2 linked regions of the Cricetulus griseus genome follow. The protein of the gene in region 1 interacts with the protein of each later gene in a biochemical or structural test. Links are inferred from orthologs where the notes say so. Each region holds a gene or a part of one and is shown in the gene's direction. Other genes may lie near its edges.

Evidence for each region. The genes of interacting proteins can lie anywhere in the genome.
Region 2: of the proteins of Rhoa (region 1) and Kctd13, one has a biochemical effect on the other in vitro, tested with the Homo sapiens proteins (2 studies listed by BioGRID, with this or other methods). The link is inferred for Cricetulus griseus from reciprocal best matches to the Homo sapiens genes RHOA and KCTD13.

What each region holds. Positions count from the first base shown.
Region 1 is NC_048597.1:216,484,506-216,490,020, forward strand, and holds the start of Rhoa (transforming protein RhoA), read left to right. Parts: upstream 1-1,836; 5' UTR 1,837-1,978; intron 1,979-2,373; exon of another isoform or gene 2,374-2,511; intron 2,512-5,515. Other genes in the region: Tcta (T-cell leukemia translocation-altered gene protein), read right to left, coding at 1,142-1,364. UniProt on the Homo sapiens protein: Small GTPase which cycles between an active GTP-bound and an inactive GDP-bound state.
Region 2 is NC_048596.1:73,807,793-73,811,449, reverse strand, and holds part of Kctd13 (BTB/POZ domain-containing adapter for CUL3-mediated RhoA degradation protein 1), read left to right. Parts: intron 1-1,394; coding exon 1,395-1,484; intron 1,485-1,598; coding exon 1,599-1,651; intron 1,652-2,268; coding exon 2,269-2,464; intron 2,465-3,657. UniProt on the Homo sapiens protein: Substrate-specific adapter of a BCR (BTB-CUL3-RBX1) E3 ubiquitin-protein ligase complex required for synaptic transmission.

The sequences.
Region 1 (5,515 bases):
CCTTCAATCGCTCCATGGTCCCCCTATGCTCTTGTGTTCAAAGTTCACTATCACAGCCTCTCCTAGTCTCCTAGTGTGTCACATTTGTCCCTGCTACTGGGTCTGTTTTTATCCTTTTTTTTTTTTTTTTCTTATCCAGTATACTGTGCCGTCCTCTCTTTGGTCTCAGTTTAGGTGTCATGGGGGAGGGGCTGCTTTCCTGAGCAACTTTGCATTTGTACTTATTTTCCTTCTAAATCTCTTGCTTCCCCTGTAGCAGAGTCTGGGTTGTCCTTGTTTTCTGGGCCTGCTGTGAGCTCTGCTATCTGGTAGAAGCTCAGAGACTGACTGAATGAAGTGTCTTGATAAGTAGGCTGGTTTTTTTTTTTTTTTTTTTTTTTTTTTTTTGATGAGGTAGTGTGCTAAGAATAGAGGCTGTTAGGCTGGCGTTATAGTTCCAATGGTACAGTACTTGCCTAGAATAGATACTCTCACTTTCCTAATGAAGGACTTCCCAATCAAGGGATTTGTTTCCAACAGACCTACCTACCACTTCACCTTTCTAAAATTACGGTACCACCACCATCCATCCCCACTGCATATGCTGATAAGAGGCACTGCTAAATGCCCAACTCGAATCCTGAGCTCTACCTGCAGAATTGGAGGGTTCTTGCAGAGGCCACTAAGGTGGTGGCCCTGCGAATTCTCTTCCCTGTCACCAGCACTCAGTGTTCTCTGCCTGCCAAGCATGGGGTTGGGATAGACGGAGATTTACTCACCATGAAGGAAAATGTGTGGAGCCATCAGGTGTGGATCCATTCTGGCCACCCAGACCTGGAGGCAGGAACACACCCAGAGCTGCAGGAGGCTGAGGGTGGGGATCTGAGCAGGCTCAGGTAAGGGGCCACTGGTACAGTTTAAGAGATTGGGGCTGGGATGCTAGGGACTGGTAGTATTGTCTGGTAAGGGTTTTTGAGAAACCGTTACAACGTGATTATGGACAGGTGGGGATTCTGATGTAAGATGGTATGGGGGTGTAAGTCTGGGTGCAACGAGGCTTCTGGGAGACCAGTGGCAGTCTACGCGGACACAGGAGAAACAAGTGGTATAGCTTGGTGGTGGTAGGGGCAGCCAGGCCAAGGAGGTTCGTAGGGAGCCTCACCTGGACGGTGATACAACCCGGTCACTGTGTTCCCGTAGAACCCCCACGCCAGCTGGATGCCCAGGAGACTTAACACCAACCACAGCAGGAGCAGCTTGAAGAGAGTCACTCGCATGTCTTGTGTCTCCCACTCCCGCAGGAATTCGCTGCCCAGGGTGCCCAGCGCTCCGAGCACCGACGCGGGCAGAGCTTGCAAAAACTGCCCAGACCAAGGTTCCGCCATGACTGGCCAGCGCCCCACCGGGTGTACTGTCACCGTAGTTCTCACTGCGCAAGCGCACGGTCTTCCGGGGTTAGAGAAGTAGGTGCGCACGCGTAATGTCGGGCAAAGACGATCTACTTCGCTTGCGCGAAGTGTTGGCAGTTTGGGGCAGGGCTTTAAAACCGCGCAGGCGCACCCATCCCCGCCCTGCTACTTAAAGGATGAGTGAATCGGTGAGTATAAAATAGCAACTTGGTCTTTTATAGCCCCGGAGTTCCCGTGATGCTCCACGCGGCCGCAATGATTGGTTAAGCGTCTTGCTTTTAGGGCGTGGTTGCGCTCTTGAGCAATCGTGGACGAACTGCGAGAGTGCGCGCGTGCGCGGGGCCGCGACTGGCGCCAGCTCGAGCCCGCAGGGCGCTCGGGGGCGCGCACGTCGCTCCCCGCCCTCCCGCCACCGCCCGCCCTCGTTCGCTCGCGCTCCCCGCCCGCCGCCCGCCGCCCGCGGTCCTCCGTCGGTTCTCTGCTGAGTCCGCCGTCTTCCGCGGAGCTGCCGGTCCTCGTCTCCGAGCTTGCGGACTCGCGGACAGGCGTCCTCGGCGCGAAGAGGCCGGACTTGGAGTGGTCGCCTTGAGGTGAGCAGAAGCATTCCCTCCAGCCGCCTCGGCTCCGGGGGCCCGGCCGGCCGGCCGCCGCCGCCGCCCGCCCGCCCGGCACTTTCCGGCACCCGCCGTCCCCCAGTCGCGGGCGCGCCCCACCTGCTGCTCTCGGCCGGCAGCCCTGGCCCCCCCTGACCGGGGCCCCGCGCCCGAGGCGGCGGCCCCGCCCGCCCCGCGCAGTCCCCGAAGCGCGCCCCGCCGCCTCCAGTCCCCCTTCCCCCGCCCGGCCGGGCCTGGTGGAGCCCTAGCCGCCCGCCCTCCCCGTCGCTTCCTCTCAGGGCTGCGCCGGGCTGGGCGGGGGCTCCCGGCCGGCCCGCGACCGCGCTGGGGGAGTCTGCCACTGTGAAGCGCGCGTGGTGTCGGGAGTTGGAATAGGCAAGAAACTCTTTTACAACTCCATTTTGCCTTTTACATTGAATGTGGATCATTAATCACCGTTTTATACCGGGTGAAGACAGTGAGGCTTTGGGTGGATTTTCTGTTTTCAATGCCGTATTCTTAGAGATTGTGTAAGTAAATGATTGTTTTGAAATCTTAGCGGTGAAGACTGTATGGGGGGAAGGTATTTTCCAGTTGAAAAAACATTGTAAAAATAATTTGGAGAGGTTGCATCGATATAGATGCATTTCTACTTAAAGTTACTGCTTTAATTAGGAATCACTTACAGATGGGTTCCCTTTTCAGGTCGTTTTCTTGAAATTGTACTTTTTGCACCCAAATATTTTTTGTTTGTTTTTGTTTTTTTGATTTGTTTAGTAGCATAAAGTGGGAAATTGGCATCTTTTTTTTTTTGTCCCACAATTGGTTCTACTTGTATTTTCTAATAGTCCTCACTAAGAATTTTAACCTCTGTTGGTTATTCATATGGTTCTTTCTGTCTTCTGACATTCTTTTGAAATAAGTGTTGTTTTGCAGGTTATATATAACCAGATTATATTCCTCTGGCAAACCTGGAGGGATGGGAAACTCAATGTAGTATGTGGTGAGAATTTTCAGCCATTAAGTGTCACATGTCCAAGTGTGAATGTACCGTGTGGATGGTTTCTCACCATCCACATGGTTATCTTGGTAGTGATACTGTCTGGAACATTTAACACAAGTATCCTTGTTAACTTAAAATACAAGGCTAGGTCTTACTATTGAAGGCTCTCAGAACTATTGTGAGAATTTGTCTACTTAGGTGTTTCTTAGGGGCATAAAATATATAGAGAGCTTGTGTTTTCTATTTTATTTTTTTTTTCTCTTTGGTGCTTGAAATTAAACTCAGGGCTTGGGGCATAGTGAGCAGGTGCTATATCTCTGAGCTTTATTCCAGCCCTATAACTAACTGAGTCAAAAGTCAAGTGTTCAACTTACAATGCCGCTACCCAGAAATCTCCTGGAGAAGGAAAATCTGCCAACTTTCCCCCATATAGACTGGAAAAGATTTAAAGGATTTATAGGCTGACTCCATTTGTAGGCGTGGAGACTGAGTTCAGGGACTTTTTTCAAGAGAAAGGTTTATTAGCACTCTGCAGAGAGAACAGTGGGAGAGACCCCTGCCTACTACTTAAGAGAAATGGACACAGAGTCTGACTTGAGCGCTGGAACTTGATTTGTAGATCTAGCTGTCCTGCTTCTGCCTTCTGAATAGTGCTGGGATGTGTACCACCGTTCCTGGTGAGCGTTAAAAATTTTGAAGGTCATATGTCTAGTTAGACTAAAACTACTTTTCTATCTGAAAAAAAAAGTCCTCCGTGTACTCTCGGCTAAAATCAGGGTTCCTGATTACTCTCTTGCTGTTCTTCACCTTGCAGATTGTGCGTATTTAGGGAGAATCTGGTCAGTTCACTTGCCAAACAAATTTCTAGTTTTTTGGGGTTTTTTTGGTTTTTGGAGACAGGGTTTCTCTGTGGCTTTGGAGGCTGTCCTGGAACTAGCTCTTGTAGACCAGGCTGGTCTCGAACTCACAGAGATCCGCCTGCCTCTGCCTCCTGAGTGCTGGGGTTAAAGGCGAGCGCCACCAATGCCCGTCTAAATTTCTAGTTTTTGTACATAGCCCTTTTCTGGCTTAGCCTTGTCTTTGAGTTTGTTGATTTTCTTGAGGACCCAGCCTCTGGGAGTTGACTGTTAACAAAGACAACATAATGAGGTCCCCCTAGAATGTCTTCAGGCTACTATAGCCCCTTTGACTAGATTTTAACTTGAACTGGTGAGAATGCACAAATCACATACATAAGCAGTGGTCTGTGCAGTGTGTGAGAATGGTTTTGTTGGAGTGTTTTCATAGTCCTTATTCTTTGTTCATCATTAATCCTTTTAACAGCCCATCCTCTCTATTAGCGGTGTAAATTTTTAGAAGAGTAAAATGTTCAGGTGTTTCTTAGTCCATGGGGTGGGGTGGAAGTAGGAGGAGGAGGAGGTTAACCTTGAGAGATTGGCTAACCTTGTTGCAAGACTGACTTGAGATTAGTGGGTTCTGTAGACAGTACATTTGGTTCCATGGCGTTATAACTGCTAGCAATGATGGCATGCTGTGTACAAATGCTGAATTTAAAAACTGGAAGTAGGTGAGGTGAGAAACCTATAATTGCAGTACTCCAGGAGGTAGGATTGTTAATTTGAGGCCCGCCTGGGCTATATAACAAAATCCTGTCTCAAAAAAAAAGTTCCTAGTAATGTTCTTCTCTCCTCTTTATGTTTCTACCCAGTAGAACTCAGATGTTGCTCCAAAGCATTAGTTATGTTACTTAACTATTTTTTGTGGTACTGAGAATTGTACCCAACTTTGATGCTAGGCAAGCGTTCTGTTGCTTAGCTATATACTATTAGCCTCTATATATTTTAATTAATGGGTTGATAACCTTTCAGCCGGAGGCTTGAGCCCAGAGCATTACACATACTTGCAAGGGCTCTGCTACTGAAGTATATCCCCAACCCTGATTTTACTTTTGTTTTGAGATAGTCTCATTACACTGTTAGGGTATGACCATGAACTCATCAGCAGCCTAGGCTAGTCTTGAACTTCCAACCTTCCTCAGTCTTCCCAGTAACTAGGATTCCAGGCCTATGCCATCAGGCTCAGATGTAACTATATTTTGTTATTATTTTTATGAGACAGTTTCACTCTATAGGTGATGCTGGCCTGGAAACTCACTATATAGCCCAGGCTGGTCTTGAACTTATTAGCAGTTCTTCCTTAGCTTAGCCCTCCTAAGTGCTGGGGTTGTAGGTGTGAACCTATCTTTTAACATTTAGGCATGTAACTTACTGGTGTGTTTTGGTTACATTAGATATTTGTGACAATAAATTTCAAAAGTAGTTTGAAGTTAGTAATTATTATAAAATCCCTCCCCTCCCCTAATAAGGTTTCTCTGTGTAACCCTGGCCATGTTGGAACTTGCTCTGTAGACCAGGCTAGCTGCAACTCAGAGATCCTACCTGCCTCCCAAGAGCTGGGATTACAGGGGTTTTGCACTACCACCCAGCTGTAAAATCCCTATTTCAAGTGACTTCTTGTTTGATTTTGAGACA
Region 2 (3,657 bases), on another chromosome or scaffold:
CTCCCAAGTGCTTTGATTACAGGTGTACACATTCCTGGCTTTCCGTTGTTTTTATTTTGAGACAATATTGATGCAAAGTCCTGGATAGCAATAAACTCTCTATGTAGAACAAGCTAACTTTGCATTTGTGGCTGTGCTCCACATCTGCCTCCTGGGATTACAGGTGTACTGTTTTTCATCTGTAGTTTCTTTGAGCCACAGTCTGTCTGGCTGTGTTGTCTAGGCTGCTCTCACATTCCCAAGTTTAAGCAGCCCTCCTACCTCAGCTTCTTTGTAGCTGGACTGTAAGGCACCTGCTGCCATGCCTGCCTTTCCATATCAGTTTTACACACACACCAAACAAACAAAAAACCTCTTAGCTGGGCGTGGTAGCACACACCTTTAATCTCAGTACTTGGGAGGCAGAGGCAGGCGGATTTTTATGAATTCAAGGCAAGTTCCAGGACAGCCTCCAAAGCTACACAGAGAAACCCTGTCTCGAAAAACAAAAACAAAACAAAATCTCAAAAAATAACTTCTGTAATTTGTCTCAGAATTTTACCTTCAGAGACAGAGGTGGTCTGGCACACTCCAACGTTTGGGAAGCTAAGTCAGGAGATTGTTTAGTTTTTTTGTTTGTTTTTGAGACAGGCTCTCACTATGTAGATCAGGTCTCATTCACAGAGATCTACCTAAATCTGCCTCCCAAGTGCTGGGATTGAAGGTGTGCTTCACTATTGGCAGGCTGAGGTAAGAGATTGCAAATTCAAGGTCAGCCTGAGCAATTTAGCAAGGCTGTCTCAATTTTTAAAAAGGGTAAAGGATATGGGTCAGTGATGGTAGAATACTCATGGTCCTGCTCCAGCATACAGCACTGAAAAAATAAACAGTCTCATTGTACTCATCCAGGGCTATTCATTCAGCAAATGTATGCTGACTGCCACCTGTACAGTCTTCAGGAAGAGCTTACATATATAAAACAAATGTAGAATTAAGTACTGTGAAGAAAAGGGGGCAATAATCTGAGCCCAAGGAAGCTATGGTATCGAGGCAGTGGAGTGGGGCTGGCACTGAACAGGGTTGGCGCTGTTTGGGTCAGCATGCTGAGCTGAGAACTGAAGGGTCTAGTGAGCTTTGCACATAGCTCAAGCAGGCTGACCAGTGCAGAGTCTGGGAGGACACAGTTTCGAGTCTAAGGAGCAGCAGGTTGGCAGGGTAAGGGTAGAGTTGTGGGGAGGGTACCAAAGTCCAGACAGTTTGGGGAATTTCAGAGCTAAAACTGGAGTGGTCACATCCCTATGAGTCTTAGGGACACTGAAGAGTGTGTTTTCAACCCCCAAGCAGCTTCAGAGCGCCTTTATATAGTGCAGTGCGTGAACACCGGTTGTACTGCTAATCTTCCACTTCCTCCCCAGCAAAAAAGGGAGAACCTGTCCCCGCTCTGCCTCATCCCCACAGTGACATCACCCCGGGAAGAGCAGCAGCTTCTGGCCAGCACCTCCAAGGTGAGGCCCCGGAGCCCAGTGGGTTGTGTGTGTGTGTGTGGGGGGGGTTGGAGTTGAAGGCTGCTGTCCTCTCCCAGTCTCTTGACTCCACCCTCCTTCAACTTTCCCCTGCAGCCCGTGGTGAAACTTCTGCATAACCGCAGTAACAACAAGTACTCCTATACCAGGTGAGCGCTGGGGGCATGGGCGTGTGTGCATGTGCTCACACACTGGGGGATGTGGGTGTCCACCGTGTTCACTGGGTAGAATCCTAAGGTTGAGCAGGGTTCTGCTCCTGTCTCTCAAAAGAGTATAGCTACATGAAGAGACTATAGACTGCCTGCCTTTTGAATGCCCCATTCCAGCTGTGCCGCCTGCCACCATAAAGGAAGTTTAGGCCAAGTCTGTGGTAATGGCTGGCATAGGCTAGCTCCTTTTTTCCTAGCAGTATTGGTCTTAGTGTCTGTTGACTTATCCACTCTCCCAATGGTCTCTGGAAGTGTTGCTTTCCATCTAGAGATGATATTGTGGCAGCAAGGGGTAAAATAACCTGCTTCATGTTGCTGAGTTAAAATGTAGCAGGGCTGGAGTGCCTAGTGACAGCCTGGTTGAGGGTGCCTCTGTGCTGTGCAGCAATTTGTGCTGTGCAGCGATTTGTTCAGAAATGCTTCCCTTCTGAGAGGCCTACACTGTTGGAAGTCCCCTGCTGGACAGGACTGGAGTGCTGGAAATATGGGCCCTCTTGGGGGAGCTGAGGGAGGGAAGACAGTCAGTCACCTAAGGCCTGCTGGACCCTGGTCCTCAGCACTTCAGATGACAACTTACTGAAGAACATCGAGCTGTTTGACAAACTAGCCCTGCGCTTCCATGGGCGGCTGCTCTTCCTCAAGGATGTCCTGGGAGATGAGATTTGCTGCTGGTCTTTCTATGGGCAGGGCCGAAAAATCGCCGAAGTGTGCTGCACCTCCATAGTCTATGCCACGGAGAAGAAGCAGACCAAGGTCAGAGGGGATCAGGGAGGGGTGGGAGGTAGGACCAGGACCCTGGACAGAGCAGATCAGCAGGTCAGGCAAGGTCAAGATGTTGGTGGGCATCCAGGGCCAGAGTTCTAGGGCTCTGGCTGTGTATCTTGGGTAGGTCTCACTTCAGGGATGTTTCTCTGCCTATGAACTGAGGATGTTAGAGTAGAACCAGGTTGTTTTGCTTTGCTTTGGTTTTGGTGCAGGGATTCAGCCCCGGTCCTTGTTAAGAAACATGGTAATTTTTTTTGTTGATTTTGTTTTTTTTTTTTCGAGACAGGGTTTCTGTGTGTAAACCTGGCTGTCCTGGAACTCGCTCTGTAGACCAGGCTGGCCTGGAACTCAGAGATCCTCCCGCCTCTGCCTCCCAAATGCTAGGATTAAAGGTATGTGCCACCACTGACCAGCTAACTAGTTAAATTTTAAAATGTCCCAGTACCCAACCTGTGTTAGACACTGCCCCAGACTCTACACCAGACACAGTATGTTGAGCAGAGTGCCCTTTTTCCTGTCAGCTAATGAACTTATGTTTTCAGACCCAAGCCAAGCATCATTTCTCTTTGGACACCATTGCTCATGAAATTTCAATACAACTGCCTCAGATAAAGTTGGTCAAACTCCCTCTGGTTGGACAAAATGTTGTAGTGTAGGGTAGAACAATGGCTGCAGAGCAGTGCTGTACCTTTTCCTGTCTGATGTCCCCTAGCTAATATTAGCCTGGTACTTGTCACTTTGTGGAAGTACTAAGAAATATTGATCAAAGGCAAGGAATAGATAACTCAGCTTCCAGAAGTTTTTGGGTTTTTTTTTCCCCTTCAATTAGGAAGATAGGAAGATACAAAAGGTTAGAATGTAGCTTATGGGGAGGGTGTGGCCATGTATACCTGTAAGTCCACCTAACTAGTCTTGTGTAAGAGGACTGCAAGGTCAAGTGAGACCTGTCTTAAAATAATTAATTCAGTAATAAACAAGTAAATAAACATGCAGGACTAGTCCAGCATGCCAGAGCACTGGGCTCAGTCCTCAGTACTGGGAAGAAGGAAAGGCAAGCTGTGTTTATTATGTCCTTCTAAGACTGCCCCAAAATGCCACTTCTCCTACCTCATTTCCCTGTTTTTCTTCATCATTTTGTCCTGACATCTGAGACAAATTCCTGACCAAACCTTTACACTCCT